Linked DNA regions of Arabidopsis thaliana. The protein of the gene in region 2 binds, or shares a complex with, the protein of the main gene of each other region. Each region holds a gene or a part of one and is shown on either strand. Other genes may lie near its edges.

Region 1 (5,025 bases), on a different chromosome or scaffold from region 2:
CTAGTTATTTTATGAATATATAAATATGAATACGAAAGACATTTTATGTAATTTTTGGTATATTAGTTAGAATATATTTGTATATTAGTTAGAATATATTCATATTATTTTATATTTTAATACAAAATTATCATGGAAACGCACATCAAATTATGAACAGAAAATATTACATTAGATAGTAAATTGCATTAAAATATTTTTCAGTGACAAAATGGAAACGAATTAGGAATTTGAAGTAGAGGCCAAGTCAATGAATATCTAGTCATTATATTAGTGTTGTTAGTTAGAAGCTAATATTGTTGCTGGTGAGGTGAGAAGTGTGAATATCGTTTGCACCAAACATATTCGTGGACTACAATATAATTAGCTTGAGAACACCGAATTTTCAGAACCCCCTGCATAAGCATAAGATCATGTGATTGTCATATGCAATCATTAGATAACTAACATGAGGAGACTCATCTCAAGTCTTTTTGGCTATCGAAAATCATTTGCTACATAATAGTTAAAAGGAGAGCACACATATTGTGATCCATTCATCTATTTGCATTTAGACTGAAAAGGAAAACTCTTAACAAAAGAACTGAAAACCAAAAAGTTCAAAGAAAAGAAACCCGTAAAAATAATACCACTACTTAAGAAAATCCAAATACAATTAAACTTCAAGAATAAACATCTTTAAAATCATATAAAGCTTTTAACATGACAAGCTTTATATAAATAATGAACGTGGACTGGAATCACGTGTGAGCGAGCAACTTTGGTTTTTACAGTATCTTTCTCTGAAAAGATTGGTGGAAGAAAAAGAAAAGTTGGAGTAATGTATGAGAAAACAACTAAATGTCTCAGAATTCGACCAAAGACTGTTATTTTTATAAATAGTTTTCATGCATGCAATGCAGACAAAGTGGTCCAAGTACACTTTTGATATTTTGCATCTCTTTGCGTAATGAGAGATTCGACTTCTTTGATACGTGTGTGCTTCTCTATGGTCGCATTCTTCCACAGCCTATGTTGCACAGATTTTCTTGGTTTGACTGGATTTTATATACGTAACAACATTGACGATTTTTATTATTCACAGTTTCACACCGACAAAAAATCCACGAATTTTGGGTTCCAACTTGATTTTGACGATACAGTAGAAGGATCATAATTTAACCAGAGGAGCCTTAAGGAGAAAGATGTTTTTAAGGCTTGAGCAGAGTCGAGACAATAAATATTAAGAGCACAGAGGTTTAGTAGAGTAGATAAATCATCAAGCTGTGCACAATCATAATCATCATAAACACTTCAATCTTTTTTCACAGTTTTTGAGCAAAGGTTATGGGGATTTTGAGATCGATTTGGTGGCAGAAACATCGCGTAACAACCCTCCCCCCCTTCATCTAGATCCTCAGGCCTCGTCCATCTGCTCCTGTTACATAGAGTAGTAATAACTCAGCACACACGGTTTTGCGGTTATTTCAGTTTTAACATGTTCTTTGATGTCTCTTATATGATGCATCTGATTGGTCTATGATGGAAACACTAATCACACTAAGATATGATCTTTATAGTTATTCGAATGGTGTAGAATATCGAGGTACGGCATAAAGAGATGTGAATACCTGCATATCGGAGGTCCAAAGGGTTAAATTGTCCCTCAGCAACTGCATTATGAGAGTGCTGTCTTTGTAGGATTCCTCTCCCAGAGTGTCAAGCTCAGCTATGGCCTCCTCAAAAGCCTACAATTAAAAATCCAGTATCAAAATTGAGAATGCCCCCACAGTGAAAAATTTCTGCCGTTTTACTAAATGTCTTATACGTAAGTTCTAGTTGAAACAGAATGAGACATCAGTCCTAGTATTGGACAACATGGATCTTCATCATCATATTAGTCTGTGATTATTAAAAAAGAGGAATTTTGTTAAAAAAGCTGACTCAAAGTGATACTAGATGAAGCACCATGAATCAAAGAGTGGTTCTTTATCTAACAAAACATACTCAGGAGATAAAGGTACAACAGAAATAGTCAACAAGTGGTCAATCCTCTTAGTCAAAACATCAAGCAAGCTCATTCAAAGTGATAAGAAATGATGATACACAGAGGGCCAAAGATTGGTTCTTTACCCAACAATACATCTTAAGAAAAGAAAAAAGTACAACAAGACTAGTCAACAAGTGGTCAATTCTCTTTTGTAATAACATAAAGCAAGAAACAGAAGCAAACTCTCAAGAGACAAACTCAGGTCAACGACTTATATGTTTGTTACCAGAGAGGCAACGGAAAGAGAGAGAAAGAGATGTTCCTAATTGAGGCAAGCAGCGAAAAAGAAAGAAGAAGAGTAACCTGTTTGGCCATGTTACAAGCTTTGTCTGAAGAATTGAGAATCTCATAGTAGAACACTGAGAAATTCAGGGCCAGACCAAGCCTTATCGGATGAGTAGGTGCCATATCCGCAGCTGCGATATCCTTCAAAAAACATCACATCGAAAAATAGACAAAAACATCTCCATCAGTTTGAAGAAAGCAATTTTTACTCTTTAAGACAAAAACTGAAACAAAACAGCAATCTACTTTCTCATGATTTGATAAGCATAGTAGCTCAATTAGAGACCAATTCTAGATCAGGACATAATTACTAGATTTGGAAGCTATTACCAATAGAAGAAATCTCGTAAACAGAGTTCACAAACAAAACTTATCAGCCAAATCAGATTTGGAGAATGAAAATAACCTGAGCTGCTTTGTAAGCGAGCATGGTATCTTCAGCAGCAGTTTTCCTCTCATCACCAGACTTAAACTCAGCCATGTACCGATGATAATCACCTTTCATCTTCAAGTAAAAGACCTTAGACTCACTCGCTCCAGCAGATGGGATCAGATGCGAGTCAAGGAGCTTAAGGATTCCAGAGCAAACAGAAGAAAGCTCAGACTCAACTTTAGATCTGTAATCCTTGACAAGCGACACGTGCTCGTCGTTCTTCCTACTCTCTTCCTTCTGCTCAATCGAAGACACGATCCTCCAGGCGGCGCGTAGAGATCCGATCACGTTTTTGTAAGCAACAGAGAGGAGATTCCTCTCTTCAACGGTGAGCTCTTCCGCTGGAGTAGCGCCTGTAACGAGCTGTTCCATGAATTGAACCATCTCTTCGTAACGCTCCGCCTGCTCGGCGAGCTTCGCCATGTACACATACTGGTCTCTGCCTAATGTCGCCGCCATTAGAGAGAGAAAGAGAGAGATTTGATTTTTTTTTGTTTAATGGGGAAAATTTGAAGAAAATGGGAAAGAGAAAGAGAGAAGAAGAATAAAGGGCAAAGAGTCAGGTGGGCTATTAAAAATAGATGTATATTAAACCCACGCGCAAGTGTGTTCACTTTCGATTATACGACGGCGTTTGATGTTATAGTCTTTCGTAGAGTGAGGAGCGTGGTTTGTGTTGGCGAGTGGGATGGTTGGGAGGGTTTGGGGTTTGTGATAAGAGCGAGTGAATGGACGATAATAGTTTTTTAGTGAGTCAGCTTCTAGTCACTAGTTTTAAAGTCAGAACTCTGATTGGGCCTTTATTAGGCCTAATATGGGCCTTATGAATTCCAATACTTATGAAGTTTGTAATACACACCTTTTTTTTTGTTGTTGCATAAAATGCGAAAACTTTTTCTTAAAGAGAAATAAAGTACATAATTTAAAAGACTAAAGTATATATTCTTTTAATATTAAAGTATATTAACCAAAATGGAAATCAATAGTTAGTAGTAGTGTCGTCTGCAAAGGAAAAAAGTGAAAAATAAAAAGACAAAGTCCGAGAAAGGAGACTTTTTAATACGTTCATGTGGTCAACCGTCACCGTGAGTCCAGAAGGAATTTTTTTTTGCATCGACGGATGGGAACAAGCTCCGTCTCTCGGCCGTTATGTTTTCTTTCGGCCTTTACTTTGGACTTTCACAACTCATTTTTCTTTTTCTTTTTCTCTTTCACAACTCTTTATCACTGCAAAAAACAATAAGGATATGCCTTTTTGATTCTTATCTTGTTATTGTTATATGATGATTTACAGGTTTTAGATGAGATATTTGTGACTCGAATGCAAAGCTTAATCGGGAATTCGTTAAAGGACGAAAATTTGGAGGCACCAAGATTGATAATGGAGCTTCGGTCTATGCTTTTGTAAACGCTATATGGAAAACTGCATACTGTACTACTTGGAGAAGAAGAGAGAAAAAATATGTTGATAGAAACCATACTTTGAACATTCAGCTATAAGAGTTGGGCATGGTGTAGTTAGATTAGTGATGACTCATATGTTCATTTTGGTTCTATTGTTAATAAAATGTATATATATATATATATAAACTCAGCGATCGTTTCAAGTTTCTATAAATCTGATATACAAATTCATCACTGTTGCCACCAAAATAAGAATGAAAGAGAGAAGGGGCGCTTTGGTCAACTGAGCGGTTGTTTGTTTAAAGGGCGGGAAATTGTTTTGAAAGACAAAATATTAAAAAAATATCGTCGCCTGAGAGATTCGAACTCTCGCGGGGAAACCCCATGTACTTAGCAGGCACACGCCTTAACCACTCGGCCAAAGCGACTATGTTGTTTGCTGAAGGATTAGCTACTATATAATGTTGTTTTACATAAGTAAAGCGTGGAGCTTACTCGCGTATGTTGCGCGTACGTATGCGTTGTGCTTGTGGTAAAGTGAAAAACACTTTGTGGTTTGTTTTTCGATTGGTCCAGTTCTCTTCAGTTCTTCTTCTTCTCGTCACAGGAAGAAAAATGTTCTGTTCCTCGCAGCTCTCACAGCCAATGAATGGCCTCAAAGACATAGTTGAGACGAGAAATTTTAAGGTTTGACCTTCAATTTACTGTCTTCTTATGTGCTCTCTGACTTTCTCCTCCTCTTATGACGAGCGAAGCCATTAACATATCTATGTTAGTCTGATGATCCGATTGTCTACAAAATCATCATGTTTTCGATTCACTTCATCTTGTTAACTAATGGGCTTCACGTATTGTATAATATTAGCCTTGTAAT
Region 2 (6,525 bases):
CCCGAGTCCGTCAAGTAATAACAATAACAACGCTAAACGGAACAGATCTTCGTCCTCCGGGAAACATGGGAAACGCATCACCCATGACAATGGTGCCTCTGGTTCAGGAAGAATCAGGGACAAAAGATTGGGAGCCTTTGAGCAGCACACAACAGGCTTTGGGTCGAGGATGATGGCGAGAATGGGTTTCGTCGAAGGCTCGGGTCTGGGTAGAGAGTCACAAGGCATAGTCAATCCGCTGGTCGCTGTCAGACGTCCTAGAGCACGTGGAATAGGTGCTGAAGGCTAAACATTGAAGTATTTAACGGTCAATGTTTGAACAAGAACAGTAAGATATCGTTTTTAAGTATGTTCATCTTCAATCTTCAACATGTGGCCTTTGTTCAATTTATGTTTAAGACTTGGGAGCAGCTTTGTTGTTATCTTGACATCAATGTTGTTGACATAATAAAGCATCCTTTCTTTTGGCTTCTTTAACCACCATTGATGCAAAAAAAAATACATCCTCGGCTCCAAGATTCTATAAAAGAAAGTACCGATCTTAGAGCATTAACATTGATATGCGGAAATTGCTGATAAGTGGGAACATTTGTGATACTTACCACTTATAAAGCAATTACTTATCACTTGCAATCTTTTTAACTTACTTTATAATCCTTTATTTTTTCCATTTGTAATGAACGACCAAACAAGTATTGAAACGAAAATTAAGAACATTGATTAAAACCCAAACACAAGAGATTCGGATAACTTAAAAACACGAGGAAAGAATCAGTATCACTTTCCCCAGTAATCCAAAAGTAGAGAATTCGAGTTTTAAAACTTAAAAAAAAAAAGGATAAAGAAGTTATCACTAATTGTAGAGATCATCATCGTCCCCAGCAGCGGCTGCAGACGTGGCAAACGGATCTGCGACTCCAGTGGTGGCACCTGAACCAGCAGAATTCTCGAACCTGAACTCAGAACCGAACCCTCTAGACTGCTGCAACGTCTGAGCAAAGGCTTGGTACTTCCTGATGTCTGCATCACTCACACTCCTACGCGCATACTTCATCGACTCCTCAAAGTGTGCAGCTTTGATCTCTGATACTTCATCCACTCCATCTTCCTCCATTGCCTCTGGGTTCTCGCTCCTCCTCTTCTCCTTTTCAATGTCCTGAAACAAAAAAAAAACATGAGCTTCAGTTCAACGATTGGAGAGTATAACAATCTTTGGATAAAGAGCTTGGCGATGGGATCTCTAACCTTCTCAATGTTTTCTCTGATGGCGTACTTGCAAGCTCTCTGGCAAATCTCAGTGATATCAGCACCACTGAAACCCTGAGTGTATTTAGCAAGTGCACCGATGTCTACATCTTTAGCAATAGGAGATTTCCTCAAGGCGGCCTTGAAGATATTGAGACGGGAATCCTCATCTGGTAGTGGAATGTAAATGAGCTGGTCAAGCCTTCCAGGACGGAGAAGAGCTGAATCGATAATGTCAGGTCTGTTGGTAGCTCCGATGATGAAGACGGTTTTCTTGGCATTCATTCCGTCCATCTCAGTCAAAAGCTGGTTCAAGACTCTGTCCGCAGCACCACCTCCATCGCCACCACTTCCACCTCCTCTCTGAGTTGCAATGGAGTCGAGCTCATCAAAGAAAAGAACACATGGAGCGGATTGACGGGCCTTGTCGAAGATTTCACGAACATTTGCTTCACTCTCTCCAAACCACATTGTCAGAAGCTCGGGACCCTTGACACTGATGAAATTAGCTTGGCACTCGTTGGCAATAGCTTTGGCCAAAAGGGTTTTCCCACATCCAGGAGGACCGTAGAAAAGGACTCCCTTTGATGGAGACATCCCGAATTTCTCAAACTTCTCTGGGTGCTCGACTGGGTATTGAACAGTCTGCATTTGAACAATCACACGGCTCAGGTTACAAATTACAATTAATAGACAGACCCAAGCAAAAGTAAATATTAGCAATTTACCTCCTGGAGCTCTCTCTTGACATTCTCAAGACCTCCAATATCATTCCAAGAGACGTTGGGAACCTCCACAACCTGCAAAGCAAAGAAGAAAATTTGGAATGAGATTTACGCAAAGATACAATCTTTGATCTCGTTCTAAGCAGAGTACTGTCAATACTCACAGTTTCACGAAGTGCAGATGGGTTGCTGTTCCCGAGAGCAGTGTGGAAATGTTCATTAGTGACTGCCATGGAATTGAGGATTTCAGCGTCTATGGAGTCATCTTCCAGATCAATCACATCCATCTTCTCCCTGATGCATTGCAGGGCGGCCTCTGTGCACAAAGCTGCAAGATCAGCACCGACGTAACCGTGTGTGTCCTTTGAGATCCTTTCGAGATCCACCTGGAAAACAACCACAAGAAGAATTTAGCATTCAATAAACATTACACTCAACAAACACAGAAAAAGCTATGACTAGAAAATTACATCTTCAGCCAGCTTCATGTTCTTTGTATGGATCCTCAGAACTTCAAGACGTCCAATTTCGTCAGGAACTCCAATATCGATCTCCCTGTCAAATCTTCCAAACCTTCTCAAAGCTGGGTCGATACTGTTGGGGCGATTGGTTGCTCCCATGACGATAACATGAGCACGAGATTTCAGTCCATCCATTAGCGTAAGGAGCTGAGAGACAATCCTCCTCTCAACCTCTCCATTAGTCTTCTCTCTTTTCGGTGCAATAGAGTCGATCTCATCAATGAATATGATTGAAGGCGCATTTTTCTCAGCCTCCTCGAATGCTTTCCTGAGGTTGCTCTCACTCTCACCAGCCAATTTGGACATGATCTCAGGTCCGTTGATACAGAAGAAAAAGGCACCCGTTTCATTAGCCACAGCACGAGCGATCAAAGTCTTTCCAGACCCAGGTGGTCCATAAAGAAGAATTCCCTTCGGTGGCTTAACACCAATCGACTTGAATAGCTGTGGATGCCTCAAGGGAAGTTCAACAAGTTCCCTAATCTGAGCCATCTGTTTCCTGACACCACCAACATCATCATAACCTACATCATCTAGCCTTTCTTCATCCTCTCTCTTCACAGGCTCACCCTCACAGAAAATCTCTGTGTCTGGAGCAACCACGCAGTACTCAGCAGGATCTGTCTCTATAACTTTGAACTCCACACTCCTCATTCCTCCTCTGACTAGGAAGAGATCACCCTTCCTCACTGGACGGTATGCCTCAAGGAAATAAGCTGTTGAAAAGAATTCAATCTTTGTTAAGAAATCACTCTAATAATATCTCAAACCAAACAAGAACATCCAAAGAAAAATCAAAATTGCATAACTGGATAAGGATCTAAAACAAAAAGGCAACTTACGTTTCAGGTAAGCATCAAATAGGTTTCCAGTCACTCCTTCAACAGTATCATCAACAGGCAGGATGTGAACACGCTTTCCGTACTTGACGTCTGGGCATTGGTGAACAGATATAACATCTCCCAGTCTAACCCTCAAGTTAGATCTGACTACTTTATTCATTCTGATCTTTGGCTCCTCACATGTCTCATCAGCAAGAGCAATGCAGACAGTGTCCTTCCTCTTCTTACCCTGAAAGCCAAAATCCAAACCAAATAAGAACTCATAAAGACTACTAATACGAATCATTCACCAAGACAGGATCAGTACAAAAGCAAGTCTTTTTATTTTGTATAATACCTAAGATCATAAATCACTTGTTTCAAAAGACCACAAACCCTAGTTTATGTAGAACCACATAAGAATCCATTAATCAAGCAAGGAGAAAAAACCCTAAATTATGTCTCTTCATAGAGACAGAAACCAACCATTCAATATCTCAATCAAAAGAGAATCCAAACAAACAAAAGCAAACCCAAACCTTGATGAGAATGGTATCACCACGGAAGAGCTGAAGCTTCTCCATGGTTGCAGGGTGAAGAGAGACGACGGAGTTATCATCGTTGATAGCCTCATCGACGACGAGACGGTTCGGAGACTTCTTCCTCTCGAGAATAGCAGTACTGAAATCTTTCTTCGATTTCCTGTAACAACAACAAAGAAGATTAAGATTCAACTATAGAAACACAAGATCAACCAAAACCCTAATCCCCAAAATCGAAAAACCCAGACTTTAAGAAGATCCGAAAAAAATCCCGATCGGAAAACCAAAATCAGAGATCTGGGTACTTACGAGTCTGAAGATTCAGCTGGGGTAGACATGATTGAGTTTGAGATTAACGAAAGAGTTCCCTGAGAAATCGAAGAAAGTTGAGAGCTTTTTCTTCTTCTTTGGTTTCTTCTCTGAGAGAGAGAGAGAGATGGATTTGTGATAATGGGATCTGAAAGAGCACAGATTTTCTCTAATTATATCTCTCTACGTTTCTTGTTGGAAAAGAGAGCTCTTTTTTTTTCCTTTATTCTTATTTTCCTTTTTGTTTCTTATCTTCTAGTAATATCAAACCGACCCCTATTGTTTTACTTTTCCCAAATATTCACCCTATTTATGTTATGTGATTAGAATTCTAGAAACTTCTTTTTCGTTCAATTTTTTCCTCCATTCCACAAGCAATATCAATTTCCTACCTATCGACTAATATTCTTTTTCCAACTACTTCTCCCAAATTTCAGTAGTCCTCCAGACCTTAAAGCCCATAATTATTTTCATTTTATTTATGTTTGTGATTTACTTATGGTAATTAATAGGAACTCTTAACACATTACCACAAATATACACTTAAGCACGAGTAGATTGATCAGCTTTGGAACAAAACTCTGATAAGCCGTTCTTGCTTAATATACATATCTTACTAATTTAGCTGTGGTTACTATTCATAAGTTCATACAAAAATCATATTTCATCATTTTAGAATCTTTCACAAATCTTCATATATAATTATCTTTATGTATGTATATGAGCTTCATCTTGATCTCGCTAGAATCTTCAACCTTCGGAATCTCCATGAAACCTTTCTTGACTCTTTTTTTTGCTGTAAGAAGAGGTTGAATTCTATAAGCAGTCAACAAGCTCTTATTGTCTTTGGATTCCATAACTTGCCAAACCAACCTCCTTCACCGCCACCACCATTGTTCTTTCCTCTCGCGTCTCTCGAAGCTTTTACACTGTTCAGCGGAACTAGCTGTGGGCTGCCATTTCCTGAAGAAGCTTCCACAATTTTGTTCACCATCTCTAAAACCTCACTCATCTTGGGACGTGCCTTTGAGTTCCTAACCAAACATCTGTTGGCCACAACTGCTAGCTTTTGAACCGATTTGATCGGGTACTTCCCTTCCAGCCTTGGATCTAATATGAGCTTGAACTTCCTTGTGTCAGATAAATAAGGTCTCACCCATTCTAGAAGCTTCTGCTCTCCCTTGGGTCTGTTTCTGTCCACCGGTCGCCTCCCAGTGATAAGCTCATAGAGGAAGACTCCATAACCCCACACATCGCTTTTCGATGTGAGACGGCCGGTTTGAATGTATTCAGGTGCTGCATAACCCATTGTACCTACAACCTAATAAAGCCAAAGAAACCCGTTCAAAAACATACCTGTTTTTCAATCTTGCAACCAAAAGAAGTGAATGCAGAACTTACATCAGTAGAAACATGGGTTAATCCTTCAGATGGACCTAAACGAGCCAAACCGAAATCTGAGAGCTTTGCTTTCCAGTCCTCATCCAAAAGAATGTTCGAGGACTTGAAATCGCGGAATATTATCTGAAAAGCCAATAAATAAAAGTTAGTCAAGAGAGTGAAATGAGATCAGTAACGTAGCAGAGTCATCATATTACCTGAAACTCCATTTCTTCATGCAGGTATGTTAATCCGCGAGCTGCATCTTGGGCGATTCTCAGTCTGAGGTCCCAAGTAAGAACTGTGAGTGACCGAGGGGATAAGTGGAATTCAACACTTCGGTTAGGCATGTATTCATAAACCAAAAGCCGTTGGATTCCACGTTCATCATCTTCTGCACAATAGCCAAGCAATTTCACCAAGTTTGTATGCTCAACTATTCCGAGGAAGTTCACTTCCGTAACCCATTCCTTATGCCCCTGCAACATCCAAGAAATGAGATAATAGTGTTAAACCAGTGGATGAGTAACAGATCTTGAGAACAAGATTGGAAAAAACAGACATACCTGCAACCCTCTTTTACCGAGCTGCTTCACTGCGACTTCGATTTTAACTGACGAGTCCTCTAAGTTCCTCACTGTGCCCCTGAAGACACAACCGAAACCGCCTTCTCCAATCATAACAGATCGGCTAAAGTTCTTTGTTGCAGACTTGAGATCAGTAATGCTGAACTCTCTGAGATTACTTGCTCTAGTAGACACCGGAGGGTACGAGTTCTTCCTCCCCATGGATGATTCTGTGCTCGTCCCAGAGACATCACGAGAGTTGAACTCTGACCCGCTTCGGTTTATTTCGCGGTCAGAGAAGATAGAGGTCAATGAAACCGAAATAGGGGTCTTCTGTTCCCCTCTCTTATCCCCACCAGAGAACAAGAAACACTTCATTATCGAGAGGAGATTAAAATACCGATGTTTGTCCACTG

The links.
Region 1: CDC48 (region 2) and GRF6 share a complex: the UniProt entries of both Arabidopsis thaliana proteins name them as parts of the SERK1 signaling complex.

What each region holds. Positions count from the first base shown.
Region 1 is NC_003076.8:3,283,056-3,288,080, forward strand, and holds GRF6 (G-box regulating factor 6), read right to left. Parts: upstream 3,293-5,025; 5' UTR 3,207-3,292; coding exon 2,721-3,206; intron 2,456-2,720; coding exon 2,333-2,455; intron 1,728-2,332; coding exon 1,611-1,727; coding exon of another isoform or gene 1,560-1,610; exon of another isoform or gene 1,517-1,559; coding exon 1,421-1,516; 3' UTR 1,418-1,420; coding exon of another isoform or gene 1,397-1,417; 3' UTR 798-1,396; downstream 1-797. Other genes in the region: AT5G10460 (Haloacid dehalogenase-like hydrolase (HAD) superfamily protein), read left to right, coding at 4,767-4,838. UniProt on the Arabidopsis thaliana protein: Is associated with a DNA binding complex that binds to the G box, a well-characterized cis-acting DNA regulatory element found in plant genes. Specific negative regulator of slow-vacuolar (SV) ion channel.
Region 2 is NC_003074.8:3,017,161-3,023,685, reverse strand, and holds CDC48 (cell division cycle 48), read right to left. Parts: upstream 4,438-6,525; 5' UTR 4,193-4,437; coding exon 4,164-4,192; intron 4,015-4,163; coding exon 3,852-4,014; intron 3,563-3,851; coding exon 3,334-3,562; intron 3,208-3,333; coding exon 2,441-3,207; intron 2,357-2,440; coding exon 2,135-2,356; intron 2,046-2,134; coding exon 1,974-2,045; intron 1,891-1,973; coding exon 1,246-1,890; intron 1,157-1,245; coding exon 854-1,156; 3' UTR 634-853; downstream 1-633. Other genes in the region: AT3G09850 (D111/G-patch domain-containing protein), read left to right, coding at 1-289; AT3G09830 (Protein kinase superfamily protein), read right to left, coding at 4,990-5,484, 5,565-5,687, 5,762-6,022, 6,110-6,487. UniProt on the Arabidopsis thaliana protein: Probably functions in cell division and growth processes. Interacts with certain SNAREs as part of specialized membrane fusion events where vesicles from the same organelle fuse (homotypic fusion).